3 linked regions of the Bombyx mori genome follow. The protein of the gene in region 2 interacts with the protein of the main gene of each other region in a pairwise test. Links are inferred from orthologs where the notes say so. Each region holds a gene or a part of one and is shown on either strand. Other genes may lie near its edges.

Evidence for each region.
Region 1: the proteins of general transcription factor IIE subunit 2 (region 2) and general transcription factor IIE subunit 1 interact in a two-hybrid assay, tested with the Drosophila melanogaster proteins (2 studies listed by BioGRID). The link is inferred for Bombyx mori from reciprocal best matches to the Drosophila melanogaster genes TfIIEbeta and TfIIEalpha.
Region 3: the proteins of general transcription factor IIE subunit 2 (region 2) and Ubx interact in a two-hybrid assay, tested with the Drosophila melanogaster proteins (2 studies listed by BioGRID, with this or other methods). The link is inferred for Bombyx mori from reciprocal best matches to the Drosophila melanogaster genes TfIIEbeta and Ubx.

What each region holds. Positions count from the first base shown.
Region 1 is NC_085128.1:9,614,484-9,625,810, reverse strand, and holds the start of general transcription factor IIE subunit 1, read right to left. Parts: upstream 6,803-11,327; 5' UTR 6,406-6,802; coding exon of another isoform or gene 6,360-6,405; 5' UTR 6,342-6,359; exon of another isoform or gene 6,246-6,341; intron 3,791-6,245; coding exon of another isoform or gene 1,874-3,790; exon of another isoform or gene 1,867-1,873; intron 1-1,866. Other genes in the region: rab-like protein 3, read left to right, coding at 6,360-6,405, 7,623-7,832, 8,223-8,368, 9,306-9,442, 9,516-9,570, 9,672-9,815; BGRP4 (beta-1,3-glucan recognition protein 4), read right to left, coding at 9,994-10,110, 10,198-10,299, 10,881-11,029.
Region 2 is NC_085118.1:15,262,738-15,274,255, reverse strand, and holds general transcription factor IIE subunit 2, read right to left. Parts: upstream 6,010-11,518; 5' UTR 5,866-6,009; coding exon 5,804-5,865; exon of another isoform or gene 5,800-5,803; intron 5,072-5,799; coding exon 4,967-5,071; intron 4,143-4,966; coding exon 3,980-4,142; intron 3,523-3,979; coding exon 3,413-3,522; intron 2,986-3,412; coding exon 2,808-2,985; intron 2,160-2,807; coding exon 1,899-2,159; 3' UTR 1,828-1,898; downstream 1-1,827.
Region 3 is NC_085112.1:6,100,611-6,111,931, forward strand, and holds the start of Ubx (ultrabithorax), read right to left. Parts: upstream 6,172-11,321; coding exon 5,709-6,171; intron 1-5,708. UniProt on the Drosophila melanogaster protein: Sequence-specific transcription factor which is part of a developmental regulatory system that provides cells with specific positional identities on the anterior-posterior axis. Binds the consensus region 5'-TTAAT[GT][GA]-3'.

The sequences.
Region 1 (11,327 bases), on a different chromosome or scaffold from region 2:
CCAAAAATATTGTTTTCCTATTTATGTATTTACAATAAAATTACTTTATTTGGTAGCGCATGTACCATTTATTTTATTATCGTTATATTATAATATCATTCTAATAATGTCAATTATATTGTTTAAGCTGCGCTCTGGACGCGTATTATAATAAAATAGTATTATTTTTAAAATACCACAAGAATGGATAGCTACAAAACGCGATTTGTTCGTTTATTACCGTATTTATTGTATTTAAATATGTACTTATCTAATAAAAGAAACTTACATACAACTGTTCATTACAGCTTTTTTTTTTTTTTTGGTCAGGAGGAAATCGCCGGACTTCCGCCCTCCACTGGGGACGGCGGGCGGAGCATGTCGGAGTCGAACCGACTAAAACCTCCTGTCGCTCAACAACCAACGTCCAAACCTCACATGAGACAGAACTCATGAAAAGGCAAAGGGGGGAAAGTGAAGTGTTTAGTGCGGAGCACATCTCTCCCATCACCCTCCCCCTCGGGACGCCGGACTGACATTACAGCTTGGCATGCTTTTAGTTCTATTGATGTGGCCTATTGATCTCGAACGGATGAGCACAGCCATCGTGACTATTTCTGACATGAAGCCGTCACGCATACTGGTTTGATGGGTTGGACAGACATTATACAAGAAAATTGAGTCTTCAACCTCGTAACCTCGTGTCTCAAGAAGGACAAAAACATTCAAGTTTTTCTTTACACATTTAATGAAGCTGCGATAACCACTTAACATCTGACAGGCCATGAGCTCGTCTATCCGTCTGTAGAAATAAAAAATGCCTTCGTTGAGAACATCAAAATGTTTAGAATTAAATTATAACATTCCTATTAAGATCAGTCTTCGATGTATCTATTTCTATTTCTACAACAAACAAATAAGAGGCAGTCTATTTAGACATTTTGAAATTAATAATTATTATTATGCGAAATAAATGTCTATGTTAACAACATTCAAATTGAAATTTGTACATTTATTATGTGCTTTTTCATAAGATACCATGACCACAGGGAAAAACTACATGTTTGGCAAGAGGGCATTTTATTTATAGCTGTATTATTTTATAGGCAAAGATAGAAAAACAATTAATATTGAAAAAAATTGTAAAATATCAAAAATATCTATACAACCACCTTGCAGCCATTTGACATCTTGAATTAATTACATTATTGATTGATTTGAGGATTTATTTTTTAATTAACTCAATTAAAAATCATTGTAATTTTTAAAGAATACATTATTTCATATTTTACTAGACATTCACAGATCCTCAGATTACAAAAAAAGCATAAGTGCTACTTTTAGAATTAGCAATTTTCATGTTTTACATTTATTAGGTCTAATATTAATTATTTTTCTGTATTTAAGAGTTGAAATTTTACAAAAATATACTATTTTATTAATAACATTACTGGTGTGTAATGAAATTTGCTTTTAGAGTACTTATTGTGTTAGGTTTATAAATAATTTGTAAACTTTGAACCAATGTGAGCTAATGTTTTAACAAACAAGAATCAAATGAAAAGGAACTTAAAATACCTAGTCTTCTTATACATACATTTTATGTCAGTCTTCAGTTATGGACAAACAACAAAAATGTGTATTAAACATACAATATCATGCATTAAAGAAACAACTTAATGTGTTTACAAAATCATTTGTTATGTGTATAATTACCTCATATCTAAAAATGTTTGCCATAAATAATTCTGATAATGAACCATTTTTTTCTTACCTATATAAATAATTGGCTTATTATTATTTTTCATTAATAATTCATGATTTTGACGTATATCATATCACTTAGCTGAACTGACACCCTTGCTTGTTTTGAATAGTACTTTGAACCCACACATTAATGTGTTCGACCTCTTTCTAAAATTAGCTGAATGTTATCTAGTGTTTGATAAATTACTCTAAAATTTGGACGATCACTTGGATTATGATTCCAGCATTGCTTCATTAAATCATAGACACATCTAGGGGTATTATCTGGGCAAGCTAACACATTTTCATCCTTCAAAAATCTAACAACTTCCTCATGGGTCATACCAAAGTATGGTTGTAAGGCAAATGAAAATATCTCCCACAAGCATACTCCGTATGCCCAAACATCAGATTCTAACGTGTACTTATTGTAGAGTATACTTTCAAGCGGCATCCACCTTACTGGGATTGCATCATGTTCATCACCCTTATAATAGTCTTGTAAATAAATTTTGTGTGAGAGTCCAAAGTCTGCAATCTTTACAACCATGTCATCATTTATTAAACAATTTCTAGTTGCAAGGTCACGATGTACAAACTTCCTGTCCGATAAGTACAGCATTCCTGATGCAATCTGTCTGGCAATGTGAAGAAGATCTAAGTGACTTAATGGTGCAGCAAGCAATCGTAGATCTTCACGGTGTTCTACTGGTGCAAAACTAGTAACAGTACTGCATGCTCTTAAGTATTCATTTAGATCACCTTTTCCCATGTACTCAAAAAGCAAACACATTGGACGTCCTATAGCACAAACTCCAAGTAATTTAACAATATTTGGATGGTCAAAGTCTGCAAGTAGGCAAGCTTCTCTTTCAAAATCCAATTGTAAATCATGAGAAGCTTCATCTTTAAGCATTTTAACTGCGACCAAAGTAAACTCTTCATCTGGTATAAGACCTGGAGCTTTTGCCTGAAATACTCTACCAAAGGCCCCTTGACCCAAATCACGAATATATATTATGTTATTTCTTGGAAACTCTAACTTTTCTAACTTAGGATTGAGTTGTGCTCCAGTTGTATGGTAGGCAAGATTACTTGGCAATTTATCTAAATCTATATCCATGTTTTGTAAATTCCTGCGACTTGAAACATTGCACTTAGAGTAATGATTTTTAACAATATAATGACATAGTAAAGCTATTCCTGCTATAGCTAAAACACATCCAAGGCCCCCTATTGATAATAATAAAACAAATGTGGGTGTAAAGTAATTCTCCATTATTAAATTTGATCCCTTAATATTGTCTTTCTCTCGACTTGAATTAGCACACATTGGTATCTCACAATACTGCCATCTCACGTTTGGATGCATAGTGTAACACCAAGGCCTATTTTCTTCACCACCAGCATTTCTACAATAATTTGAAGAGTTCTGCACTTCTGGAAACACTAATGGAGGTCTGGTGTGTTGATGGGGAAATTGCGACTCCCAAGCCTGACAAGCTAAACCAGCTTTTGTTTCATTAATTACACCTTGGTAGTAACGGCCATTACCTTTTACACAGGTTGTAGTCACCTGATCAAGGTCCATGTCAGTAATCCCAATATTATTACAGGAAACTTGAGAGCCTTTACCACTGTAATGTGGTAAATTTTCACATTCTGGTAATCGAAAATGACCCCTAGATTCGAAAAACACTCCTCGTTCTTTTTGATCTTCAATCACTATCCAGTCGTTATAACAAAATTGCATTTTAACTGCCATACAGTCTTCATAACAAAGTGGTAAGGCAAAGTATCCGACACCGTCCTTATTGATGCACTTCGGAAACGCATAAGCACAAAGCAATCTTTCAGCTTGAGTCCTGCATGGTTCTTGGAGATTTGAGATCATTTCTTTCCAAAGGCCACTTGTTATCTTCTCGTTGTCGAGTCCGCCAGTGTGGTTGTACCATACGTAGCCGGTAGAATAACTTTTACATACTTGCCCATTGTATGGACCACAATATAACTGGACTGATTTTGAGAGAAGCAGCAAAATTAACAGCTCGATGAACAGGTCCATTATGATTATTGTTAGATGGTTTTAGACTTCTCCGTAACATCTTACAGTGATCTTAACCACAACATTGTCAAAAGACAAAAGTTATACAATGGCGGACAGTGTATAAAGTTATGTCTGTATCGTATCGATTTTATGATTGTAAATTTTCGTAAGCTCTGACTTCCTAGTCCAACCAATGTTCGCGTTCGCTCGACTTCAAGCAAAATTTTGACATATACTACTTGAACTTTGAATAGACACCTATTCAGTGATAGTGGTATACATTTATAGGTTAATCTGTTTAATTTAGTTATATATTTATGTTTTTCTATTGAAATAAATTGTTGGTCACAAGACATAAAATCATTATTGTATTAAAATTTGAAGTCTTCGTGGCGTAAAGAACTAAGACGCCCGGTGCATTCCGGTGATATGCGTACCTACTTGAAAAATATTCACGAATTACTTTCACGGTGACGGAATAAGAACATCTAATAAAAATCAAATACGCAAAAATTAGAAGTTACTTATTTACAGATAGAAGGGCGTCTTGTGAACCCACACGGGTAGGACCTACTCTGCCTATATCCGTCGTGAAGCCGTCTCATGTCGCGTAAATTAAAATACGGTATGATTTAAAATTGTACCGAAAATGAACCTTTACTTCTACTTATTTTATTCGACGAGTGAATAAAAAAAAACTAAAATGAACACGCTGATTTCAGAGTAAAGTGACGTTGTCTAAAAAAATTTAATTGATAATTAATTAGATATGTATGTTTTATAAACCGTTTTTCATAAACCCAATGAGATTTAATAAAAACAGGCTTACTTAGCAGTTCATAACTTCAGGTTAGTAGTAACTCGACTCTATCAAAGGAGACTGAAACGATTACATACATTTTTGGGCCCGAATGTAACGTGATGAAACTAATATGAATTAATAGATTCAGATTTATCAGTACCTTGCTGAAAATTATAAAAGTTTTCTCAATCTGAGAGCCGAGTTAATAAAGATTTAGTAAAAGTTAGGTTATGTTACAATCTCTTTAAAAGAGCTGAATAATAACTTATTTAAGCAAGGTTATGTTACAATCTCTTTAAAAGAGCTGAATAATAACTTATTTAAGCAAGGTTATGTTACAATCTCTTTAAAAGAGCTGAATAATAACTTATTTAAGCATAAGTAAATGTTTATTATATCCATTGGATAATCATTTAAATGTCATAATAAGAGTGAATATCAATGATATATATTAGGTATGGAATATGGAATTGCTATCCCACAATTCACACAGCGATCCATAATTTCTACAGTATCCAATGCAACAATTTCAAGTCAAACGTGTGAGCGATCTTCGGTGTCCAGTGTAGAAGCAATTGTCGTACAAGGCTGGCAGAGTTGGAATCCGTAATAATAAAGCAGTGATCGTTGAAAATATAAAAACAGCCCGATAGATACACACTCAAAATGCGTCGAAAATACAAAACGAGTAAAGCAGAAAAAACCAACAAGCGCCAAAAAATAATTGTATAATCTATGAACAAACGTCATGTCAGCTTACTGTCAAAGCTGTCATCAAAAATACAATCGATTTTAATCGATTTGAAATCGATAATCATATTACTTTGTTAAGTAATAATAGACTTTTTCTTCATTTATGTATATAATCGCAATTAAATCCGGCGTATACCGTACTTGTATACAACAAGTATAAATCGTTCATTTAATTACTTTGCTTTAACTACCTAGTGCAATGTTTTTCTTTTTATAATCCTGTAATCGATTAATTAAATCGATCACACCGTTATACCGACAAAAACTAACTTTCTCATTTTTCTCCGGTCCCAGAAAGAGGATTGAGGTGATTTTTTATATTCTTATATAAAAAAATATGACAAATTTTTTAGACTACATTCCAAGTTATTACATTTTTGGCCCACGATTTTCCGTCTCCTTTATCTCTATTCTATTGTCTCTCATAAATATACAACTTCGGACACAGTACAGATGCGGTCGACATAAATATTAGTATTAATACTAAGTATGTACTGATAATGGAATGACAAATAGACTAGTAGTAGTAGTGACTTATTTTAATTGAAAACTAATGATTTTCAACTTTTTGTCGGCTTTCTTTAGTGTCAGACATTGTTACTAATTATTGATTTTACATTTCATTGGGACTTTTAATTTGGACTTTTTTACTTTCGAAAGTTTGGTTTTAAATATTTTCTTGTATGTCTTAAATTCGCGTTTCTTTTTGCGGTAAGTTGTGGATGTTGTAGCGCGCGGTGCATTGTCTATTTTCAGTATATACGCTTAATTTAAACGCAAGTTCGGAGCAGAATTAAACGTATAAAACGTAACGTTACCTTTTACCTTTTTTTTGTAAGTTCGCCCCAATTGAAATATTCCTAATCGAATGATGTAGTAAGTCGAATAATTCGATTGGAAATTCATAATCGCGTATCGTTAGTTGGTAGTACTGAAGGTATGAAGATGGTGGATTAGACATAGACAATACTGACATTGTGAATTTGTCAAACATTTTTATTTGCAAACACTTACCGACAATTTCTTCAATGAATGGCTGCGATTGAGAAAGTGAAGGTTGTGGTCCTCGGTGATTCAGGTATGCTTATTTCTTCTAATTTCGTTGTCGTCCATTTATTATAGCACATACAAGTAGGCACATAGAATTTCACAAAATAACAATACGTTTATTATAACGCTCCGCCATGACACCTTAATGATAGCCAACATTACAAAAATAGGTGCGAACGTAGTGGTCACATTCGATAATATCGATATTTGTTTACAATAATGAGAAAGTTGACTTATTGTTTTTAAATTTATCTGAAGTTTTAAAAATTAAAATTTAGTTTATCTCGTGATTATCCATAGTCGAAAACGTATTATAACATTATTATAAATTAATTCATTAATATACTTTCTTAAATAATAGTAGGCAGAAAAACTTTTATTACATTTGAATAGACATCTACGTAATATTGACGTTAGACTTTATAAAGAGGGTGTGCTAGAGCTAGTTGGCGCTCTGTTTCCACTTCCCACACCCCATTTTATATGCTTGTACTATATCTAGAATAGACATCGGGACTTAAATCGTTCACGTTAGTGAACTCGTTCACTAAATCTCGTTCCGTAGAGTGAACTTTGTGCTTAGTGCGAGTTTAACGTTCTCGATAGCGTAAAAATTAACCCGATTTTGTATGCAATTGGAATAGCGCCCCTAACGTAGGCAAACGATCCCATCCCATACAAATATTAGCTAACTTTTACGCTATCGAGAACGTTAAAAAACTCGCACTAAGCACACTGGTTACTTAAAATCGTTCCGTACTTCCTTTACGGGGAATCTATTCTGTATAGTCGTACTGCACATGGTTACAACTCCGGAATCGAAACCTTTTCAATCACAGCAGAAGCGATTTCATTAAAATTGCGATTTCTTCATACTTCAGGCAGACTTAAGACTGATAATAATAATGTGATAACTAAACAACACAAACTAAAATTAATTGAAATGTCTAGTTACCTAGTAGGTATACCGACTCGCAAAATGTAAGAGAAAGTACCTATTCTGAAAATAATGAAAATATGTGAATGAGTTCATTAAAATTTGATTCATCGGAACGAATCGCTCGCGAGCTACACAAATTTAATTTAGTATCTTTAGATTACATAATTACTATATTTTATAACGAACTTAGATTTTATTTTTGTCAGAATTTCCGTAATGAGTTTTGCCATCAGATCCATTATTGTAATCTAATTAGATCGATATATTTTTTATGGTTTCGAAATAATAAAGCATTTAAATTGTAGGTGTGGGCAAAACATCTTTAACACATTTGATAGCACACAATAAGCCCATTTTATCGCCGGGATGGACGGTCGGTTGCTCTGTGGAAGTTAAATTACACAAATACAAAGAAGGAACACAAGCCCAAAACACGTTCTTCGTAGAACTTTGGGATGTCGGAGGCTCAAATGGACATAGAAACACAAGAGATGTGTTTTACCAACCAACGCATGGTTTGTTATATTAGAAAAATATGTTTTAATTTGATTTTTTATGGATGAACGAGTTCACTGTCCATCTGGTACCACCAATAACGACTACAAATCACGTCGACATATACCTAGTCGTTTGTCAACGTTCAGACCAAAACACATGATTGCTTGGTGATAAAAAAGGGCTCCTAACCCTGTGGGTTCATACGCGACCTATCCACAGTAATAATTCAAATTTATAAAATGCATAATACACGATGCAGTTCCCATATCAAAGTTGTTTATGAATACTTGTTAAGTGCGTATTTATCATGGGTACATATGCAATCTTCCCGATAACACGAGACATACCACTCCAGAATAACATTCTTAGATGAATAGTAGAGTTAAAGAGTTAATTAAATATTTAAGGAATCATATTGGTGCACGATTTGACGAACAGAAAAAGTCAAGTGAATCTTCAGAAGTGGCTCGCTGAAATATTGAATCAGGACAGTTCGAATCCAACTTTACAGCATGTAGACGTCGATCCGGAACAGTTCTTAGGTTCCACACAGGTCTGTTTTTCGGTTCCAATATCTAAGTATTATTTTATGAAAATAATATATTATTTCAGAATATAGAAATTCCATATAGTTGTTAGTAGCAAACTTTTATTTAAAATGTTATTTAATCTAGCCTACGGTTGGGATTGCAAAATACTGCGAGCTTGGTTATTTAGCGCGTTGTTTGTCCAAATGATTTGCCATCAAATACTTATAATAGACTATAAATAGAATATAAATAGACTGTCTATTTTTTGCAATTTTTTTTTTGTTGCCTTTGCCCTTTTGGGCTTACGACTATACGGCCCATCTGATGGTGAATGGTTACCGTCGCCCATGGACTTCAGCAATGCCAGGGGCAGAGCTAAGCCGCTGCCTACCTTTATGTACTCTCCACAAGCCTCGTTTGAAGAAGAACAAGTCATCGCGCTCGGGAAACACCATGCCATAATGCCCTCAAAATACAGTCTGAGCTTAAACGCATTCTGTGCCACATTCACGCGGTCCGTTTCCTCACGTAGGCGTAGAAGTCAGGGCTATTCCTATCACATGCGGACGGGTAGGTGAGCTCACGGGTACAACCTGAGAGAATTAGCTAACACTAGCCCTAGCAAGAGCAGTGCTTCGCAGAATCTACCACCGGATCAGAATTGCGACCCACTGCGAAGACCCGGCGAGAAACTCAGTGGGTTGTGTCTGGGTTAGTTCGCTCGTCGAACTCTTCTTCATAATCGACGAACTCGATGAGGATGGTGACTGGATTATCTTGAAGGCATCATTATATTGTATATGTAGATCCAGCAGTTCCGCTGGCCATAATTAACCCACAGGCTGCACGTGTAAAAGCTTTGGCAATAATAATTAAACAACGTCACCTTGCTTCGTAAATAATATGTAAATTATTATTTGATTCGACAATAAATACGTAATCTGGAGAGTTCGATTGTAGATTCCGATTTTAGTGATCGGGACTAAATACGACGCTGCGGAGGAAAAACAAAGGAAAAATCAGTATAGAAGACTCGCAAGTAGTATAGCTGAACAATGCGGTGCTGACGAAATATTTGTAACCTGTCATCAGGCAAGGTAACCATTGAAAATATTCTGTTGTTTATAAACATGATTTTCAGTAACGCGAAATTAAATTATAATATTTCAGATCCCTAGCTCCAGGCTCTACGAATTCAGTGAAATTAACAAGATTTTTTGATAAGGTATTTCACGAATAAAGAACAATATAATCAATTAATCTGAATACTTTATATTCATGTCTAGTAGAATACATTCATATCATACATTTCAAATATATTTGCAGGTAATTGAACGTCGATACTATTCGCGAGTTAGTCCATTTTCAGATAAAAGACGTATTCCCCCGTACATCATGGCTACGTCAACTCCTCTTTCTAACAACAGACCATCTCAATATATGAGTCCAAGGTTTTATCATATGGATTAAAAATATTTGTATTGCCTATATTCAAATCATTCCTTAGGTTCGAAAACTAAAAACATTTTTTTCCTTTCGTAAATTGGAGTAAGGATGAAATATTGGACGCAGAAAAAATAATTGTTTTATTGTTTTGTTAATTAATAAAATCAGTTTAATGCAAAATTTTGAAAATTTATTGAATTATTTATAACGCCCAAACTCGAACGTAGTCTACTTGGAGGGAAGCGTCTTGACCATCGTTAACGTTCAAATTCCACGTCGGAAGCCAACCGCCTTGGCCATTCCAGAAATCTGTGGCTGCCTGTAATGTGATGAAACTAGTAATAAGTAAATTACGTTTGTTAAAAAAGCTTTGCAGTTGGTTTTAAAATGTTTTGCTGTTACTTACCATTGGGGAATTGTTCCACCAAGGCTTAGGAATAGGGTTCTTGACACCATCAGGGAAGAAACCATTGGTGCCTCCGACAGCTAAGTTGATTATGAGATAGAACTGAAAGTTTAACAATCAGTAAATAGTCTTCCTGTGTTTACATTACAGTATTTTAAAGAAAAAAATATTAAAAATAGATATAGACATATTATCTGATTAGTAAATGTCTTATATCAGTCTCTAGTTCCTACGGCACTGGGACTCCTAGGACTTTACTCTTAAGGCCCGTTTTGGGCGGTATGTGGTTTGTACTCGATTATTTATTAATGTTAGATTTACACTTTTTTCAACGGAAGCGTCTATAAATACAATCCTATCCATATCCAATCGACTAGCGAGTGCCCATGTATTTGGGAGGATTGTTGTAAAGTCTATATAGAAAAAGATATTACCCAAAGAAGAAAACAGCTAATAGCATTAAAATATATTGCGTCCGTCTTAACTTGTATTTATTTTAAAGAGAATGTAGAATAATCTGATAATCAACAAGACACTAAATTCAATCTTCGACGAGATCTGTGAGTGAGTTCAAACCTATGCAATCTGACTGCAAATGCCGTCTATACAACATATCTTGTGTACGTCGTTTGTCAAAAGCAAATTCAGTATAGTAACATTTTTGTGGGTGTGTAAATACGTACTTTTTGGTCGAATGGCGCCATCTTACTTCCATATCTCCACGGGTTATGAATACCGGGTCTATTGTTGAAGCCGCCGTATTCCCAAAAGCCACCATTTCCAGGAGTGACACGACCGATCTCAGAGTCGTCAATTCTAAAGCTTATGAAATCTGCGAATTTGGTTAATATATAATTACTTTCGTAATTAAATTTTTGGCGATAATTGGTATTGAGCCTTGAATTCAATAATAATAAGAGATCTTTAATACATTTCCAAGATTATCAATTTCAATATTTTTTTGCTTCTATGTTGATCATGAAATCCTCAAGCTACATTGGACGAAACTTCTATATCATATTTTAAATTTTTTAGGGTTATTATATGTATGAGGCCCGGTCACTACTCGAAACCTGGTGGACTGTGCAATTGACTGATTTAATACGAAAAAACCAAACTCGTTTTGTAGT
Region 2 (11,518 bases):
CTTTGATGTGTCCCTCGTCGGACGGATTCCTTTTGTTTGTTTTAAGTTTATTTTATACAAAAGGTTAGGTAGGTCTTTTATTTATCGATTGAGGCACTACGAAGTCTGCCGAGTCAGCTAGTTATATATAAAAAGCGTGCAATAGAAAATTTGCAATGAATTCATTTATTCTCACAGAACCGGTTTACACAATCATCCGTTTCATGACAAGAAAATCATTAAGAAGATACAACGCGGCGGAACTTTTACAACTTTGAAAGCTGCTCAAACGGAAGTGCAATTACGACGGCACCAAACAAAGAATAAGCCAATGGATAACTTAAAATAAATCTGCTTCATTCTTTTCTTAATACTGGCTTTTTTTTTGTATTGTTAACTAGCTGAGTCCCGCGATGTTACACGCGGTTATTGTCGTAACGCGGGTGACGCCGCGGGGCAAAGCTAGTCTAAAAAAGTAGTCTAAGTTACTCCTTATATCATCAGCTACCTATTAATGAAAGTCCCGCCAAAATCGGTCCAGCCGTTCCAGAGATTATCCGGAACAAACAGACAGACAGAGAGACAAAAATTGTAAAAAATGTTGTTGTACGTACCGTATATATATTTATATATGCATGTAGTAAAAAGCGGTTATTTCAATATTATAAACAAACACTCCAATTTTATTTACAGGTATAGATGTAACTAAAACTTGCATTTTTTATGACCACCCTCAATAAAACGCAGAGGTCAAAACAGAGTGTAATTTTCATTCGCGACAGCGATACCAGATGGAGGGAATCTCATCTCTGTAACGTGTCTTACCTATAATTGTGTACCATAATAATGGTCCAACATTAGAGACTTCAGATATCGAAGATCTCAGCTTTATGGTTATTGGCTTTAAGGTTCAATTTAGGATGGGTTTCATAATAGTATTGTTAATGGTGGTCGGGATCCCAAGAACAAATAATATTCAACGATGATAAAACCCAAGAGTCCATATGAGCATCTTTAAAGTAAATCTAATTTATACGCTTCATGTCAAGATATAGTCTCTAGATTGTCTCTCCCACGCCTCTGCTTCATAAGCGCTGATAATACAGATTCTAAATGAGTGATAAGGTCGCGACGTGTGCCATGACAAGGATTAAGATACTGCAACCTATGAATTAGCAAAGGAAACTTTGTTTAATGCATAGCTGGTTGGACGAGCTCACAGTGAACCTGGTGTTAAGTGGTTACCGGAGCCCATAGACATCAAAAGTGTAAACGCCGCCACCTCGACATATGTGGTCTAAATCTGTTTTTACAGTACAACGGATGCGCCACCCTTCAAACCGAAATGCGTTACTGTTTCAAGAAATAAGCAAGCTGGTGGTACCTACTCGTGCGGACTCACAAGGGGCCCTACCACCAGTAGTGTCTTCGCGCCCTGAAAAAAAATAAAAATCTAGAAACCTAGTAGGGTGTCTTGTCATCCTGCATTGAAGGGTGGGACAGCTGGTGTACTGTAAAAACTAAGACTTGGAACCCATATCTCAAGATGGGCTGCGGAATTTACGTTGTTGATGTCTATGGGCTCCTGCGACCAATTAACATCAGATGAGAGCTCATCCGTCAGACCGTCCACTAGTGATAATCACGTACAAAAGTGTTACATTTATAAATATTTGAGTCAGTTTTGCGTGGGAAGCTTGTCGTCAATCCGTTTTGAATTTAAAATTGGAATTGGAGAGTTCGCTGAAAGAAATGTATGTTTTCAATTTTATTGTCTATTGTTAATTAAATTTTCGTTTGTGACAAGAGCTAAGGTATTTGCATAAAGGAAAATCTTAAAAACTCAAATATTCCACTTTTTTTTTAATCACCATCGTTTGCCTTACAACTAATGAGAAAATATACAAATTAATCACAGTTTATTTAATGGAAACTCCTTGCTGAGTCAGCGTGTTATCCTCGTACGTCTCCAGTACGTGGGCCAAATGTTCATTGTCTCTTGGTTTCTTGAACTGTCTACGCTTCTGCTTGGCCTTCTTCCGTTTGGGAGCAAGCATCTTCTTTGGCCCGTGATCCTGCATGGATTTGATCCCTTGCTTCTCGAGGTACTCCTCGATCTTCGCGTCGTCCATCGCGTCCACCGCTGTTGCACGCCATAATTTCACGAATTCGTCATCTACCTGAATTTTGCAAGAGATTAATGGTTTGATTTTATTGAGTGGACGAGCTCACAGCCCACCTGGTGTTAAGTGGTTACTGGAGCCCATAGACATCTACAACGTAAATGCGCCACCCACCTCGAGATATAAGTTCTAAGATCTCAGTATAGTTACAACGGCTACCCCACCCTTCGAACCGAAACGCATTACTGCTTCACGGGCAGAAATAGGCGGGGCGGTGGTACCTACCCGTGCGGACTCACAAGAGGTCCTACCACCAGTAATTACGCAAATTATAATTTTTCGGGTTTGATTTTTATTACACGATGTTATTCCTTCACCGTGGAAGTCAATCGTGAACATTTGTTGAGTACGTATTTCATTAGAAAAATTGGTACCCGCCTGCGGGATTCCAACACCGGTGCATCGATCGCTACATACGAATGCACCGGACGTCTTATCCTTAAGGCCACAACGACTTCACAATCTTTCTATCTATCTTTTGAACTTAAAATTAATTTTTGGCTTAAAACCAAGAAAATGGCAGGAGCTCATAGATAATACTATATCTGAACAATCTCTAATATATTTTATGAATATGAGATAGTATATATTATGCGGGCTCACAGTGTGCTCCCTACAAATAATTAGACCACAACGTCTACTTACGTCTAATGTAGCAGTCTTATCATTGTAGAATAATATTTTCTTTTTATCAGTGTGCCTTGTTATATACAAAATCTCTTGTGCCAAATGTTTCAGTGCTCTCTCGCAGTGAGGCAGCGACTCTTGAACATCTTCCAATAATATACCTCCCAAGCCTTTGAGGTCTTGTTGCTTAAGTAACCTATAAAATTAAATTATTGTTGATACTGGTCATCGATATTAGAGAGGTTGGTCCTGATGAGTTTGTAAATTTTTAAGTTGATTGGACATTTTGAAGTCGGGGGCAAAATGACTTTCATAGATTCTATTTATTACATATAAACAAACATACACAACACGCTTAAAATAAAAGTGTATAAGAGTAAGACAATTTTTTTTTTATTGCCTTTGTGGGCAGACGGGCATACGGCCCACCTGATGGTGAGTAGTTACCGTCGCCCATGGACTTCAGCAATGCCAGGGGCAGAGCCAAACCGCTGCCTACAATAAATGAAATGCAAATTGAACAAGTACTTTTTATTTATATGATTTTTGTCAGGTGATGATCTTTAAATCGTTTTCTAGTTACTACATTTGAATTATGTAAATAATGAAAATATTATACGTACCTCAGTAAAGATTTTTTATCTTTTATTTTATAAACCGGTTTGAAGTTAAACTTTCCATCCGGAGAGCATTCGATTTTAGGATTGCTCTGTAGGGCTTCTGTTTGTAGCCACTTGAAAATGTTTACAGCAGGTTATAAAAGAGAAATCAATTAAAATAGAATATTATTTATAAAAAGCATTTTAATCAATTTGGGTGTTGTGGTACTTGTGTGCTGGGGTATAATAATACTGTAATTAATGCCATCATTTTCCTAAAGTAATTACTCATGATTATTTTTATACATTATGTAGATACAGTTAGTGTTAATAGGGTGTCTTGTGAGCATGCAGGGGTAGATATAACCACACTGCCTATTTCTTTACTGAAGCATAAGCAATATAAAAGTGAGATTTAGAACTCATGTCTATATACTCCAGTAACTGCTTAACACCAGGTGGTTCGTGAGCACATTAGACTTAGTAATAAAATAAAAATTGCATTTATCATCAGCTATAAGAAAATGTGTGTGTTGTTGTAATTATTATTGAGGTAATTTATTTATTATTTCAATACTTATTAAAAGATACCTGTTTTATTTTATTTCCGACATCCAATTGATTTGTCTCATCTAAAATCTCATCTAAAGACAGTGGATGGTCATCTCCATCTTGATGCCTTGCTCTCATATGCCGTACAATACGCGCTAGCACACCAAAGCGATAGGACGAGCTGCCAGTCATAGTCTTGTAACTGAAAAGGATGATGATCAATCACAGATTTAACCAATAATTATAATATAACAAAAAATAATATTATTAGTGTTTGCTTATTGATCTAAATTCGACCATAATCATTGACACCTCAAGGTTTAGATTCAATTTAGTATTAAATTTTCCCTTTTGTTTCGTTACTTAGTGATATAAAAAAAAATCTAGAACTGTTTTCTGATAACACAAAAGCTCTTTAATAGCTACTAAATTAAATAAAAGGGAGAGTTGTCAAACAGAGAAAGAACTGGTATCTATATGCTCTATCTCAATATTTTATCCATTGTAGCACTAAATATGATCAATTCTTTTTTATATATTTTATAAGATTTTAGCAAATACACTAAATGATAAATTATTTTTTTAACAATAAAAAGCTCGCTACATATAGCCTGTATCAAGGCTATCATAATATAAATTTTCGAATTCCAAATAAATCCTGTGTTTTTTATTTTTCATAATTTTTTTTCCAAAGGCTTTTTCTAATTTTTTTTATTCAAAAGTTGATATTGCTATAAAAAGTTTATTAGTATTATTTAATAGAATTGGCGATTAAAATTACCTATAAAGCATAATAAATTATGGGAAGCAATGGTACTGATGTCATGAATAGATATTGCTGATATAGTAATTTGACCTAGTCAAAAGATAAAACTAAATGTGATTTCTAGTTTATTAATGAAAATAGCATTAGTAAATGATGCACATATTTGTTTATGCGGAACACAGTAACTATGTAAATTCAATAGTTATTTTGATAACAGAATATTTTAAATTATTAATTATGTTGCCCTAGCCTTTACTTACTTACTAGCATCAAGCTTTGGTCCGGAGCTGACTGAGCTGGATGATTTCGATTTCTTTTTGCTGTCATCTTTGAATTCAGAGTCATCCCTTTTCTTTTTTTCAATGCTGAAGAGAAAAGAATAATACTTTATTAATTTTGTTTCGTTCTAATTTGACAGTAACCTTTCGATGGGTTGAACTATAGCTCATGTAAAGTGTACTTTTATCAAGTGTGACTATGCTGGTATTCAAATACCATAGACCTGTATAATTTTTTCCACGGCAAAACATTTCTAACACGTTTTCATAAATGGATTATAAGATGAAGTAGCATTTTAGATAAAAATCATGTTTCAAAACAATTGGTGACATTCACATTATATCTAGGGGCTCAGGTAATCACTTAACATAATGTGGGCTGTCAGCTTGATCAGATTCTTTGAAAAAATTCATTACTTTAAATTAAATGAAACATTTTCCATTGTATTCTAATTTACCTAGGGCATGCCAGTCAATATAATCTTTAAAAAAATAGGGCCTGTGCCTTGATCATATTTATCTAGAATATTGGCTGCTATTAAATTAGGAAAGATATTATATCTTATTAACATTTAAATCTTCTACTTTTCTCTGCACAAGTGATTTGTTCACATTTCTACTCATTTAGTATTTCGAAACACATATTTCCATTCATAACTTTATATAATGACTCAGTAATGAATATTGCCACAAGGAAGTGAATTGATAGTAATTGTATGGGCTACGTGAGTGACAGAGAAAGTGTGCGATGGATGCCAGTATGTCTCCAATCATTGTTGTGGACTAGCGAATAGTTTAGTTAAAAATAATGTAACAGACCTCGGGGTCGCAAGTGCCTTCTTTTTAAACGCTTCCCGTTCCCGTAAGAGCGCCGGGTCCATATTTTCGTCTTTTAAACACAATCACTAAAAGTACGTATCAATTGTATTAGTATTTTGTTTAATTGCTGTTGTAATGTAGTCTATTTTCCACTTCCAAATCCTGTTTCTTTAAAATCCGGTTTGAGCAATTTGACATGTGACATATGACCATCTTTGACAAATGACGTGAGGGAGTTCATATAGAGTCCCTTCTTTATTTCGCCTGGTTGTGTTTTATGTAATTAACACCACAGTTGGAACAATATAAATTTTATTGTTGTAGCGGCATAAAGTAATTACATTAAATTGGTTATTATCACATTATAAATTATTTTTGTTTTTCATATTTTGGCGGTAAAAAGGTATTGTCACAGACTATATTCTTTTTCCCACATCTCGTGCGTTCCGGCTTACGCATAATAAAACGCCACACCACCCCCCTACGGAGAAGGAGAATCCGCAGAAAAAGAGAAAAAAATATCATAGGTCGAAAGGTTTGGAGAAGTGGACTCTGCGACCTGATCGGGTGGTATATTGAGGTGTATGCGTAGGAGTAGCAGTTAGAGGTGCCGAAGGCACGAGTGGACATGAAGGGACATTAGTAGCATCCGGTTGCGCTGGTTGAGGCACAGAAACCCGCGGTGCTGGTGCTGGAACGAGATCTACTAAAGAATGCTCGACGAAAGCTGGCTTAATTCTGTCGACACTGACCGTCACCTGTTTCCCTTTTACATCAATCGACCACGTTTTTCCGTCCTCGGCTCTAGATATAACTCTATGAGGACCAGAGTAAGGTGGTTGCATTGAACGTCTAACCGAATCCTCCCTGAGCATTACATGAGAGGCGGTGGAAAGATTTTTAAATATGAAAGGTGATGGTTTAGTGTGTGAGGAACATGGAGTGGGACGCAATTTAGACATACGCTGTCTTAACTTTACGACAAAATCCGTCGGGTCCTCGAAGCCAGAAGGACCGGGAGGTACTAACAGTTCCCCTGGAAGCGTTAATGTTTCTCCGTAAAGCAATTCCGCTACTGTTGCTTGTAGATCTTCTTTAAAAGCCGAACGCATTCCTAATAAGACCAAAGGTAATGCATTCAACCACGAATCATCATAACACATCAGAGAGGCCTTTAATTGTCTATGCATGCGCTCCACGAGCCCATTGGCACAAGGGTGGTAACTAGTAGTGCGTATACGTTTAGTACCACATAAATTAGTAAGGCGTCTGAAAAGGTCCGACTCGAACTGTCGTCCCTGGTCGGTAGTGATGACAGCAGGTACTCCGAATCGAGCAATCCAACCGGCTACAAAGGTGCTCGCCACTTCTTCTGCTGTTATTCCGTGCATAGGCCAAACTTCGGGCCATCGAGTGTAGCGATCCACAGCAGTCAGGCAGTATTGGAAGTCAGAACAAGATGGAAGAGGGCCTATGATGTCAATATGGACATGCTTCAGTCGAGACGTAGGACTGGAGAAGTGTCCAAGTGGAGATTTTATATGCCGCGTCACCTTACTTCGCTGGCAAGCAACGCAGGTTTGGCACCAATAACGGCAATCTTTGGCAATGCCAGGCCACACGAAACGGTCTGAGATCAATCGAATGGTTGATCTAGTACCAGGATGGCTAAGATTATGTAGCTGAGCAAAAATCGAGACCTTGGACAACTTCGTCTATAAATCTTTGAAACGTTTGGCCTGCGTTGCGCAGACCAAAAGTCATGTAATTAAATTCGTAGAGTCCGAAGGGTGTTATGATGGCGGTTTTACAGATATCCTCAGGCGCAACAGGAATTTGCTGATATGCCTTAACGAGGTCGATGGTACTAAATATACTACACCCAGATATGTTATGGCCAACGTCACCGATATGGCGAACTGGGTACCTGTCAGGTATGGTACGTGAATTCAACGCACGATAATCGCCGCAGGGTCGCCAGGTGCCGTCGCGCTTAGGGACCATATGAAGTGGAGAAGACCACGAACTTTTCGAAGGTCTGGCTGTCCCGCACTGTACCATATCATCAAAAACCTTTTTGGCCTCTTGAAGTTTTTGAGGTGCCAGACGTCTAGGACGACAAGAGACTGGGGCGCCCTCAGTGGTTAAAATATAATGAACTGTGTTATGCTTCGGCTCACGAATAAGTCCTGGTGGCTTCGTAATGGACGGAAATTCCGCAAGAAGTGCACTAAATTGGGATGACGGAGCGCAGACAACTTTGACGCTGGTCTGGTCTAAAACAGCGACGGCCGCAACGCATGACAACCCGGTAATGCTATCGACGAGTCTCTTGCTGGCACAATCTGGCAACAACCGATAGTGCGCCAGAAAATCGGAGTCGATGATGGCGGTGTTGACGTCAGCGATAATAAATCGCCATTGAAATGTGCGGCGTAGCCCCAAATTAAGCGCCATTTCTATGTGACCAAAAGTGCGTATCTCACTACCATTGGCAGCCGCTAACGTATAGTTTGAACGTGCCGGCTTATTTGCTAACCACTGGTATGGGTAACAGGAGAGGTCAGAGCCTGTGTCTATTAAAAAACGGCGCTTGGTTGCACTTTCGGTGACAAATAATCGGCGACTCTCCTTTAAGCAGTCAGACGTCGCCATCATTGACTGCTTTTGTCGTTTTCCGAAGGTGGCGGCGGCGTCCAGGTACATGGTTGAATACACTTAACAGCTTTAGTATTAAATTTCCTATGGTAAAAGCACATTTGAAGCTTACCAGGCGTTTGTGAGCGTCGTCGCTGGTTTGAGAAATCCCGGGTCCTATTTCTACCGCGCTCTGCAGTAAGCACAGCAAGCTGACGCGTGACCTCATCCAGACGCCGTGTGATATCTTCTAACGAAGGGGGTGAGACGGCAGACGTGCTTGCTGAGAAAACAGCAGATGAATGAGGTGCGACCATACCAGGCGAAACTTCCAAAATTTTGTCCGCTAGCTCAGCGACTTTGTCCAGCGAGAGTTCTGATTGGGCGGCCAAAATTGCTTGGAGATGTTGTGGGAGGCGACGCATCCATAGCTGGCGAAGCAAATTTTCATCAGTGAGGGTGTTTCCTGCCAATGATCTAAGATGACGTAAAAACTGCGAAGGACGGCGGTCACCCAACTCAACATCACTGACAAGTTGCCTGACACGTTGCTCCTCAGACGTGGACAACCTACGGATCAACTCGGATTTGAGGCGACCATATTTGTCCTCTGGTGGTGGTTGGAGAATAATGTCTTCTACCTCCCCAATAACTCGGGTATCTAACTGAGCAATCACGTAGTTAAATTTAGTCAGGTCAGCGGAGATGCCTGAAATCGAGAATTGTGCCTCTACCTGAGCAAACCAAATTGCAGGCCGATCAGGCCAGAAGGGAGGAAGTTTTATGGCTACTCTGCATACTGAGGTAGGTTGAGGAAATAATGGGTCTGTGGGGGGTGGGTCCGTTTTATCAATGCCTTGCATTTTAAGTTTTTGTAACTCAGCCTTTAGGATGGCATTTTGTTGTAGTAACAGTGTATTTTCTTCTCTTACTAATTGTTCGTTTGCCTCCATTATTGAACACTACGTTTACAATTGTAAAAAAATTAAAAATAAGCATTTATACAATGTAACAACTTAAAAAATAATAATAATAATAATAAGTAAAGAGGAAATTGAAAATTAATGATAATGGTAAAAGATGGCAAAATACTGACTATAAGAGACACAGTAAAACAATGAAATAAAATTATAGTAAACAAGAAAATATAAATTAGTTAAATACAGATGTGATGTTAGCACCGACTTACATTTCGTGACTATTTACTCTAAAGCATTCATGTAGATAAAACCTAAAACTGTACTTATTTTGCCTCGTAAAAACAAATATTTCCTTACTACTAATCGTACAATAATACCTTAATATTATTATTAACTACAATGTTATACAATGAATTGGCGGAGCAATGAAGGCCCGTTAACAAAATATGATTAACTATTGTTACAAAAGGAACCTTTAAATTAAATTAAAATTTTGTTTTTCTTGTTTTTTTTATGTCGACAAAGACAAAGCTGTTATATATGCAATTATGTAACAAAATTAAAGTTACAGTATAGGCGGAGAATATGAAGAAGTATTAAGATTAAAATAAAAAAAAATAAAAATATATAAAACACTTCACTGAGTTAATCAGAAAACACAAAAAAAAGAAGATAAGTTCCATGTTGTGGAATGCCGCACCAGGTGTTTAACCGCTTGTACTTGATCACTCTGCTGTGCGCGGCGATGCTGCGCCAAGTGTATATGGTTTGTAGACGATCTTGCCTGAATGCTGTGCCAGGTGTATATAGTTTGTACTCGACCTTGTCTGGATGCTGCGCCAAGTGTATATGGTTTCTACTCGATCTTTATTTGTAACGATCGAGCACGTCGGGGTCACCAATGAGGGAGTTCATATAGAGTCCCTTCTTTATTTCGCCTGGTTGTGTTTTATGTAATTAACACCACAGTTGGAACAATATAAATTTTATTGTTGTAGCGGCATAAAGTAATTACATTAAATTGGTTATTATCACATTATAAATTATTTTTGTTTTTCATATTTTGGCGGTAAAAAGGTATTGTCACAGACTATATTCTTTTTCCCACATCTCGTGCGTTCCGGCTTACGCATAATAAAACGCCACAGACGTATTTCAAACTTTTGCAAGTCAAAGGAACCTTACGTGCTGTCAAAATTGTACGTTTTCCAAAAATTTTGGCTTCAATTAATGATCTTTTATACATACATATTAAATATCATTGGCTTCAATAGCGGAGTTCAACATAAAATTTTAGATTTCTTGTTTGGTCAACGACTTAACGTTATAGTTTAAATAATATTAATATTAAAATAGAACACTTGAGTGTCCAAAAAGTGTTTACTTGAATGATATGTAAATTGTTCTTAGCTTATTAACTAATGGTACTATATTCCCTTGATTCATACCTAGAAGAAGTATTGTCTTGTCTTCAGTTACGTATGTTAAATCTTTTACAAATGAGACTGAAGTATAATACTAACGACTGTGCCGATTTTTATAAACGACAATATGTACCCACTTTCCTTGAGATGGGAAACATTCTTAGGTTATGTTTGGGTCGAGCTTTTCAGCTCTAAAAAATAGTGAATAACGCGAAAATGCTCCAATGTAAAGGTTCAGATATCCTTATTATTTTATTTCATTAAAGATGACTAAGAGATATGAGATATGAAATTGGCGTTTTGTACGGGAGGGATATAAAATCAATTTTTTTTTGTAAAATTGTTTTAATTAATCAAAGTATGCACCGTTGTTATCTATGCGCTTTTGCCATCTCGTAAGTGGTTCATTGATCCATTTACTAAAAAAACCATGGGGGCGCGAATCAATAAATTATTTAAAGGCAGTTTAAACTGCCGCATCGGAGTTGAATTTTTTTCCTTGTAAGAAGTTGTCCAAATTCCGGAACAAAATGGTAATCAGTTGGAGCAAGATCCGGGGATTACGGTGGATGTCGCAGACATTTCAATTGTAGCTCATCTAACTTAGTGGTTGTTTGTTGTGCAGTGTGTGGTCTTGCGTTGTCGTGAAGCAGCAGTGGCCTAGAGCGATTGACCAATCTCGGTTGCTTAGCAGCTAGTTCTTCCTTCATGGTTTGCATTTGCTGACAATAGAT
Region 3 (11,321 bases), on a different chromosome or scaffold from region 2:
TATTTTTGCGTGGCAATTAAGTGTATTTTAATACGCTTTTATTAGCTTCAGACGTAGGTACCTATGTATGTTTGTACCGGAATCTTTGAATATTATTTTCAATATGATGACAATACAATATTTTAAAAAAATATTGAAAATATTGAAATTCAACTAAAAAATTAAAAATAAATAATTGTTTAAAAAACTAACAAAATACGCTTTTATAGAAAATCCAACTAAAAAATTGAAAATAAATTTTAATAAATTTGAATTAATATTAGTGTAAGAAAAAATGATTTTATTGTAAAAAAAGCGTGGGGTGCATGGTATCAGTAGTTATAAATATTTTATGAACAAATATGAGTAGTGGGGTTTATCTTGATAATATCCTGAAAAGCACCTCACGTTTTAATTCAAATTTATTTTCTATTTTTAGTTGGATTTTCTATAAAAGCGTGTTTTGTTAGTTTTTTAAACTATTATTTATTTATTTTCTTTAAGACTTCATACTGAGTTTAAAACGATATAAAATTGTGCAATAAGAAATGTTTAACTGTTCTTTATTTAGTATTTTCATCGGTTTTCAGTCGTCCAAGACCACGAAAACTGTAAACTATTCGAAACGGTGGATGACAATATAAAATGGCAAATTAAACCGTAAAAGTTATTTTAATTATGTATTTCCTTTGCCTTAGAAGGTAGACGATAACGACCATCTTAGGTTAATAAGATGTATAGCCAAGCCGCAATAGACAATATATATTTATATTGCAATTAAAATATGTTAAATTGTATTTAACACATGCAAATTTGTTTCTAAACAGTGAAACGTTTTTTCGTCTAATAGGGAGATCGTTAGAAACATTACAACTGTAATGTTTTAAACTTTCGCGTTTATATATTTTTCTAGTTTTAATTCGTTACCAATTATTGTAGCAATTTTTTTTTATTAATGTAGTAAATACTACAAGTGCTATTAGTAAGATTTTTTTTATTGCCGTATAGGCAGACGATCATCCGGCCCACCTAATGGTGACTGATTACCAGTGGTGGTCAGCAATGCCAGGGGCAGAGCCAAGCCGCTGCCTACCGCATGTATGCATTGTTTGCATATTACCTGGTAAATACCTTCTATATAAAATCGCTATGTAAAATTCTTATTGACACTTTAAAAGAATTTTTAGTTTATTTATGTACGTATATGTATTTATTTATCTATAAACACTGTTATAGCGAACCATCACTGACACTAAATTTAGGATAAATAAAATATTTCTTACCTACTAAGCTTATATATGATTCTGCTCCGGATATTCGATGTGTTCCAATAAAGGAACGATTTAAAATGTTGCCTCGCGGGCTTGCATCGCAAATTTGGTACCTGCTTAGAAATTATACGGTCAGATTTTACCTCTGAGTTTGGACACGTTTTCAACCAAATTAAATATTAATATGAAAGTGAGTATGTGTAAAATTTTCTTACTCAACCATTCAAAAATGGATTTCGATGAAAAAATCTGAAATATGTAGTTTATAGTTTGGATTAAAACACAGCGTACTTTTCAACACGACCCGGTCGGATATATCTGCTACAATAAATACGACAGTGTGTTTGCTGCTTCGTGATTTTATGTACCAACAAATTTACAAATCGACCGATAGCTTATAAACCAGATAGTGGACACAAGCAACTCTTTATTTCGGGAAAATGAAACGTACATATTACGTAACGCACGCAATTACCGCTGTACACATTGAGCGTTCGATAAATGAAATTTTTATTCTTCTAATTCTTGAACTTTAATGGAATTAATATCTCTGCCTATACGCACATTGATATATTTAGGTATCAACGGATCGGCAGCCTTGAGCAGACGGAGTAACACCGTCAACAGTGATTTCTTCTTGTAATCGGCGAGTTTTGAATTCCGAATGAGTTTCATATTCAATTATAATGACAGGTACATGACTGCTTTGAAATTATAGGGCCAAGTTGATACGTTCAACCCGACTAAACGCATTGCGAGATAACGATACGAAATAAGAGTGAGGGAATTTTTTTTATACTGTAGAGTTCCGTATCTTTTTTGGAACGCACAATCATAGTTCATTATTGTTAAGATTGGCTGTAATTAATTCAATTTGAATTTTATTCTATGATGTGACTACCACTTTCTTTTGGTTTGCACAATATTTTTATTCCTTTTCGGATCACAGCCTCTTGAAATATGAGCCATAATTGCCGTTTAACTTAACAAAAAGGATACTATAAAATATAATTTCCAATCGCTTACGTGCACTGTATATTTAAAAGAGTTGTAAACTTGAATTTCATGTTTGAAGTTCATACTTAAGATTATAGTATTCAAACAACAAAAAAAAGGAAATGGCGTACAGAGATCCGGAAATTCACGGAAAAACTAGTGTTTAGCGAAAACGGAAGCTTCAAGACTGCACAAAGATACATCCTATCTTATAGCGTGAAACCAAAGTATTTTATACGGAATGTCCAACCTTAAAACTGAAACGCATGAGTGCTTCTTGGCAGAAACAGAAAGAACATTGATACCCGCTTGTGTGGTTTAGTATGCTATGCCACGATTACCTGACCCCTATTTTTATTGCAAAGAGTATGTAGTTTAGTTTGTAGCCCATATCGCATTAAATGATTACCAAAATCCATAGAAATCACAACCTGAACGCCAACACCTACCTTGAGGTATGAGGTTGAAATCTCCTTTGTATTATACAACCTCACCCTTCAAATCAGAATGCCTGACTATTACGCTCGATAGTACAGTACCGTCTAGTTCCTCTTGGTTCCTAATTTATACCAAAAGTACCAAAGACAGAAATTACGTGGATAGTTAAATAGGAAAATAAAATATAAATATACCACTGATTAACTAGATTTATACAGTCCCGCAAAATTATAATTTGCGTAATTACTGGTGGTAGGACCTCTTGTGAGTCCGCACGGGTAGGTACCACCGCCCCTCCTATTTCTGCCGTGAAGCAGTAATGCGTTTCGGTTTGAAGGGTGGGGCAGCCGTTGTGACTATACTGAGACCTTAGAACTATATCTCAAGGTGTGTGGCGCATTTACGTTGTAGATTTCTATGGGCTCCAGTAACCACTTAACACCAGGTGGGCTGTGAGCTCGTCCACACATATAAGCAATAAAAAAAAAGTTACAAGATAGCATGTACTCATAGCTATTGAAAGAGTTTTTTTTTACATTGTCCTACTGATTTCTCTATATGTGGGTTAAATATGTACTAGGAATTTTGACAGTATTTCTGTTTTTGTACAGTAATAAGGTAAAATAATCTGCTATATGTAATTGATATTTTTCAATATCAAGTTTTGAAGAATCGGAATGTGTAAAAGCCTCTACAGAACGAATGTGCACCAAGTAAGAAGAGAAAGATTCAAGTCGCTGTTTGAAGGGTCATAATAATTGTCGTATGATTGAAAATGAAAATTATTCCACCAAATAATTTTTCTTGTTTTTATTTTGTTCCATTTAAAAACCGCTTGTAACAAATTTAAAAAAAAGAAGTCCACGGCCCTGTAATTTAAGTCCTCAATTATATAGCAGTAAGATCGGGAGCATGTGATTGCAATTTCGAGCTTCAACTTATACCGTATTTATCGTTTGCTTCACTAAATTAGTTACATTTACAGCTCCACAATTTTTTTTTCTTTCTATATTTATAGGAATTTATACCAAATTACCTATGTTTTAGGTATTTATACCAAAAAAGGTTTACTTTACAGGTATTACAAATTAGCAAACTGTCCAAATGAACAGCAGGGACCGTTCATGGACAAGCCCGAACTTTTCATACATGCCACGTCCAACAAGCGTCCTTGTATTGTTTCGCGGCCTGTGTTGCGTGAACCCACAGTGAATTATAGCCGACGGTTCGACTTCTCATTTTATTTTGTTATTTTTTAGGCCCTGTTACTTAATTTTTATCAAGTCGCATGAATTATGACGAGGCGGGACCACACGCGTAGCATTAATTACTCGTCGCCGGCCCAGGTGAACTAATCGATTCAATCGAAATTCGAATAGGACTTCTTTTCCAGAAAAACTACTACGAATGAGAGAGAATCGATTCTTATAAGACTTAAATTCTAATCTATACCAACTAATATGCCGTATTAGATATTTTGTAAAACATTTTTAAAGCGTTATTTTATCTTTTAAGTGCATGAATTGAATGTTTACCGAAACGTATGTTTGAAGATTGAAGCGCTCTTAATGGGATGGTCATTTGTCGAATGGTCAGTGGCAGTAAGTTAATAATAATGCGCCCAAAACTAGACCGGGCCATTGACCCGGGCGGGCGGCGCGGGCGCACCTCTCCTGCCTCGTTGGGCCACTAAAATAGCGCTTTTTGCTTTACTTTATGCCTACACAATCAATTTTGAACCTGAAAAATTTCATCTTAAAGTATGTGTTAAGTATTGAAGGATTGTTAAACGTTTTATTTATTTTTAGATAGTAATAAAATAAATATACAACTTTTAATAATAAATAACTTTTATTTTATTTTATTTCTTAGCTTTATTAATGTATTTATAAAATTAATTTAAATTGTTATGGGTCAGAAAAGAGAACACAAGTAAATATCGACAACATATTTGTCTCTTTATTTTACATTCTCTCGAAATATTTTAGTGTTTTGTCGTCCGGTAAAAAAAGTAGGTATAATATGTTCTGCTAAATCTCCGTATAGTCCAGTCCAAGATTAAATCGTATTTTAATTCACAAACCTTGTTAGTTTTGTTCCAAAAAAAATTTTAAGACACGAGAACTTTATTTCAAATAATCCAGTTCCATAGCTCTATAATTTATATACCAGTTCCGTTGCTACGAACCATCAACATTCAGGAAGTCTACACCAAAGATTTTATGATCAAATCACTGATATCAATTTATCGTTACAAATTAGTAATTTGGAGGATCCTGAGTTTTGTCCGCAATAAAATTATTAATGGTACTCAAATCTGTCTCACTAATAAGGTGTTAACGAGGGTCGTTCGTTTTATGTGCTTTTTATTGACACTTGATTTGTCGGCTACCTGCCGGTTAGTATTGGACTCTTAGGAAACATTAATGGACGATTCTGAAGTGGCCCGATTATGTGTGCCAAACAGGATGGCAGCATTTTAGTGATTTTTACGGGGTATCGGACGTGACATATTTTTGTTACGCCTCTCATTTCCACTTATGTATATTAAATGTTGACGAGTTTTTTATGGGAAACGCAATATATTTTTAAATATAGAATCATAAATTTCAGTGATATTTGTAAACAAATATGTAATATACAATATTAATAGGTAGAGACTTCGGCAATTAATTTTATCAAAAAAAAAACTGCACCTACGATCGCAATAATACACTTCAATCGAATATGCAATTTCGAAAAGGGCACATGTCGCATATTTTGTCAAATACGTTTTTTCATATACATGTAGTTTTGAGGCTTACCTACACCCATTTTATAATAATTCCCGTAATTTTCAATTGCTAATTAACACTTAAAATATATTTCAAAAGTTAATATTTTAAATTTTACACTGCTTTAGAAAATAATCAGTTTTTTTTCATTTCCTGAACATTTTACATTTTCAGAGGTGTGCCCTTTTCGAAATTGCATATTCAATTTATATAGAGTTGTGATCGAGATAATTTTTTTTAACTTACTAACCTGCTATGGCCATCCAAGGGTAGAAAGTGTGGTTAGTAGGCTGCTGGTGCACTGGCTGCGCGGCTGATGCTGCTGATCCCGGAAGTGCACACTGGTTGCCCCACGGAAGCGCTCTACCAGGACTTGACGACTCACTGTATCGAGCTTCAGGAGTGCATGCTGCCGGCCTCACTAGTGCTCCCAGACCTGAGCCCCAGGCTTCTTTCCCACCATAGCCATTCTGCTGCTCACCGCCTGGCTTTGAACAATCTGCTTTAGGATATTGCTGCTCTCCAGCATAGAGCTTGCAGGCCGCCGCGACAGACGCGTCGTACGGTGAATCCTGAGGACGAGGCTGGTGCAAAGCGTGTGGCTGTGCATACGTGAGGCCCAGAGGGAAGCCGCGGTACTGGTCTCCACCACCGCCGCCCTGGTGCACTCCATGGGCCCCGTAAAAACCACCCTGCTCGAAGTAAGAGTTCATCGTGACCAGTCACAGGCACTAACGTCACTCAGGGAACACTTATGTCATCGCGGCCCCGCGCGCCGTGATAACGCGACCTCCGCCAATGTCACACCAAATACGGACAACGTAATTTATTTTTATTAATTTTATTGCCTCTTAAACGTCACTAAAGCGTCATAATGGGCTTCGTCGGCGATAAAGGCCAGTTGACGTGTGTTTACTTTTTACGATTATTTTACGACTCGGGAGCGCGTGCCGCGGGTTTTACGACTTTTTAAGCGGTTTCGTCTGCGGCGCCGGCTCGTCTCAGGACGTCAGCCGAGAGCGCGTCTCCACTGTATGAAATCAGAAGTGATCGTGGTGGTGTATGGGCCGGAGGCTTGTGTCGCGAGCGAAGTTTTCCGTCGCGTGTGGCGGGAGCGCGCGGCTGTGTGTCGTGTGCGACCGGCGCGACGCGGCTCACGCAATGTACTGAGCGCGGCTGAGACACGCGCGCCGCCCCGCGCTCACTGCTACCATCGCAGCCCAACGACTATTGTTCCGTCCCCTTTTCGCTAATCACTATAAATATTATCAGTTACGCTCTCTTTTCCTTTCCTTATCACACCCACTCGAGCACGTGGCGAACGTTCGTCAAACAAACTAGAACTTTAGCTGCTCTACTTCAGAATACCTAGGTTAATAACTGACATTTATATGACTTAAGAGAGAACTCAATAACATCAAATCCTATTATAAACTATATGTTTTCTTTTAACAATTTATGTATCTTCGGACGACCGCGTAACAAAACTTTTGAAGAGCCTCAACAAAAGCCTCAAAAATGAATAGAACGAAAAAGTTAAGCCGCAAAAGTCGTAAACTCATAAACGTACAATTAGTGAAACGGGCGAGTAAAGAAAAGATTTTACAGCCACTCGTCGACCGTGCCACAATGAGCGTTCAGTATCGTAACAAGGTGCTGAATAGAGTGAGAAGTCGTAAAGATGATTATTATTTCTTCTACTACCTGTTTTTACGAGTGATGTTTCTATTGCTCTCTTGCTTAAGGCGCCCGTTCGAGAGCGAAAGGGACAGCGCGTCGAGCGCGGAACGGTTATCATCCGAGCGGGGCTGATTAGTGTATAGCGGTCTTGGTCTCGCGCTGTGTAGCGCATGCAGTGGACAACGCACTATCGGAGGGTAAACAATAGCGCATTATCGCGAGTTCACTTCGCGCGACCAAATGAAGTCGTCAAACGAATGAATGGTGCGCCCTACCCTTAAGAATTGAACGCATTTTTATTGCGCCTTCGTATGTAAATATTTCCTTTAGATCCGGGTATTGAGACGTTTTTTTATTTATTTATTAAAAATGATATATGTAAAATGACAAGTTTAACACTTTTATTTTAATTAATAGATAATGGTGGTTTACGTTTCATGAATTAAATATACTTAAATTTTTTATGATTTTTTAAAACTTACCTTATTTCAGGTTTTCGTTAACTTGCAAAATAACTTATTGAACCAGAACCAAATCACGACACCAAACTAGAAATTAAGAAAAATATTAATAAATTAGAATTGAATTATATATTAATGGAACAACACAAGATTGCCCATGGGTACCTACATCCAAAACTCGCATAACACAAAACGATTGTGACAAGTGTTTTAAAAGCATAAATGATAATTATCTATTTATATTATTAACTTATCGTATTATAAATTGGCAGACACGTTCACTTTGCATTGCTCATTGGAGCCCATGGTCATCACAGCACGAAAGCGGTCATTCACCTTGAGATCGGTGTCTCAACTATATTGTATAATAACAGCAATTTTAAATCAAACCAAAGCGCAGGACTTGATAGACTTGCGCTACGTACCTGTGTGGGCTCACTAGGCTCTACAATTCGTGAAGATTATTAAAATATTACTTGAACTCTTATATTTACGTTAAAGACGAATAAACTAGTACCTACTGAATCTTTAAGACACAACTCTGTACTAGTTTATTTGAGATACGTCTAAAACTTCAGGAAGAGAAGAGAGCATATACATAGCTCTAGTTTGAAGGCTTCCAATGCAGTAAGAAATTAATTAGTTTTTTTATCGCACAAACCCGTGAACGAGCTTATGGTCCATCTGGTAGTAATTGGTACAATGGCACCATCCACCTTGACACATACGGTGTAAATTTCTACTGTACTGTTTCGCAGCCAAAATACGCAAGTTATTATTGTCTAGTAATTTACAAGCTCGAACCTATTAAAGTTCACATACCACTTAATACCAGGGGGCTGTGAGTTCGTTCACTCATCTAAATAATAATAAAAAATAAAAATAAACATATCCAACTGTTCTCCTGAATTTAACAATCGTTTAGTTGACAATTATAGCTATAATGGGTATTAACGATTGCTATTATCTAGTTAAAAATGCCCATCATCAGAATATCAAAAATTTACAACTAAAAACATTTGAATACTGTTAAATAAACTAAGAAACTATGCAGTGAACTGTCATCGGCACGCAATCACATCAGAGTAATTAATATAGGTAGCGGTCTCATCTTAAAAAAATATACTAGAACTTTCTATACTAGAACGTCATTGACGGTAATCACTGTCATATAAGCCTCCAACATATCTCTCCTCCGGAATGAAAGAAGACTTATTTTAATCTGATGATAAAACTTAAAATAGGTATTTTTTTCCTACCTATGGTGATAGCCTTGAGAGGCTATTTCAGCTTCACCCTAACATGTAGGTGAGCTGACGGGGCTCAAACCGGAAATGTCGCTAACACTGGCCTAGCAAGAGCAGTGCTTCGCAAAATCCACTACTGGATCGGAACTGCGACCCACTGAGAAGATCCGGCGAGAAACTCAGTGGACTATGTCTATGGGTTAATTCGCTCGTCGAGCCCTTCGTCGCAAGCGACGAGGTCGGTGACCAGTGCTTATGGTACCTAAGAATAAGTAAGTTGTTTGTATTTAAACAGCGAGAATCGTCGGCTTTATCATTTAATTAGAATGTTCTCCGGTCAGAAAATCAGTGAAAAATTTTATATTACACATGTACTTGCTGTGCTGTGACGTTCGTGTGACGACGGAGTAAGAATATAATGTGTTAACACCTCTATACTATCCCAGGGAGTCGTAAGAACTAATTAAAGGAATATGCACAGGACATCAGTGCAAGAGAAGGAAAACTAATACCTATGTGTAATAAAAATCAAACCTGCAAAATTATAATTGGCGTAATTACTGGTGGTAGGACCTCTTGTGAGTCCGCGCGGGTGGGTACCACCACCCTACTTATTTCTGCCGTAAAGCAGTAATGCGTTTCGGTTTGAATGGTGAGGCAGCCGTTGTAACTATACTTGAGACCTTAGAACTTATATCTCAGGGTGGATGACGCATTTACGTTGAAGATGTTTATGGGCTCTAATAACCACTTAACACCAGGTGGGCTGTGAGCTCGTCCACCCATCTAAGCAATAAAAATAAAATAAACTCGAAATTACACCCTGTACCAACCTGTTTAGCCAGCGTGGTACAGTAGGCTAAATATCTCCATGGATCACTTGGAGAGGGCTATGTTCAACAGTGGAGAGCCTGAGATCATGTACCTACTTGCTGCAATTACACAAATTAATATAACATTTTCTAAGTTTTTTGAGAGTCGAAAGATTAAAGCTACTTTTACGGTTCGATCTTGCGTTTATTATTTTAATTTTACTACTTCGGCAATTTCGAATGATTTACAGTTTTTCGTGATTCACGGACGAATGTGAATTATTTAAAGTGAATTCGTGAATTGTTCGATCAGACTGAACGGCACTAATCTGCTAGACCGATACAAGTTTTTTTTTTTTTTATATGTGTGGACGAGCTCACAGCCCACCTGGAGCTAAGTGGTTACTGGAGCCCATAAACATTCACAACGCAAATGCGCCACCCACCCTGAGATATAAGTTCTAAGGTCTCAAGCATAGTTACAACGGCTGCTCCGCCCTTCAAACCGAAACGCATTACTGCTTTACGCCAGAAATAGGTAGGGTGGTAGCACCCACCCGCGCGGACTCACAAGAGGTCCTACCACCAGTAAGATTGATCGGACTGGACTTAGTATAATGCAGCAGAATAACCGCCAACATAGTTATAAGACATGATTTCATGTGTGTAACATCTTTCGGCCAATGCGTAATTTTATGTTTAAAACTCAATTCACGTCTTTTATCGACAACTAGGTACCTATGCCTTTTTGATTGGTAAAGCGCCTTATGGGGTACTAATATGCTCATAGTCACGAAGTAGCCATAACCTCCGGCTTAAGCATGAGACATCATTTAGACCCGATTGTCTCAAGGTTGGCATTATTAGCCCACTAGTTGGACCGTGAATCCATTTAGCCAACTTAAACAATAAACAAAATGGAAATCGAATAAGAAAATAAATAATCTTCTATTAAATCAGACCTAATTGGAAATTCCGTCTAAATAGAAAATTGTTGGTCTGATGATCGAAAATGATAAAATATATTTGTATAAGTAGTCTCATAGACATATAAAATTCACTATACAAAAATATTGAAGCCCACGAGCTTCGATATGTTTATATATAATTATATTTTTGGTTTATTTGTTATTTATACAAAAACAATAATTTATTATTGATGATTTAATTTTATCGTAATTTTATATTTTCTTTTAGCCCATCATTCGAAAAGTCATCAGTCTCATTAACACAGGAAGGACATTGTGATACCTGGACAGCTTTTCTAAGATTAACTATTTTCATGTACAAAAACATAGATTTAATAAATCTTTTCTGTTTACTTATTATGACACTGTGAGCTTTGATCCTAAAGCTTTCATGCGATCCGTCACGAGATTCGCCATACTAACAATCCAAAAAGCTGTTTTATTGCGTCACGACTACAAACAGTACGGCAACAATACGCTAAAACGATTCCGGCTTCCTTATCGCGACAATGTAACTAGTATAAAAAAAGATGGTAATATGCAAGTGTGCGGTCTCATTCAGATTCAAGCGGCAAATGTGATGAGTTTCGCATGGCGGGCGGCGCTTGCGCATGGCACGCGTCCGCGTTCATCGTAAACATAATTTTTACTACCACTCGAACGATCGTAAACGTCACGTGAAGTGCCCCGTTTGT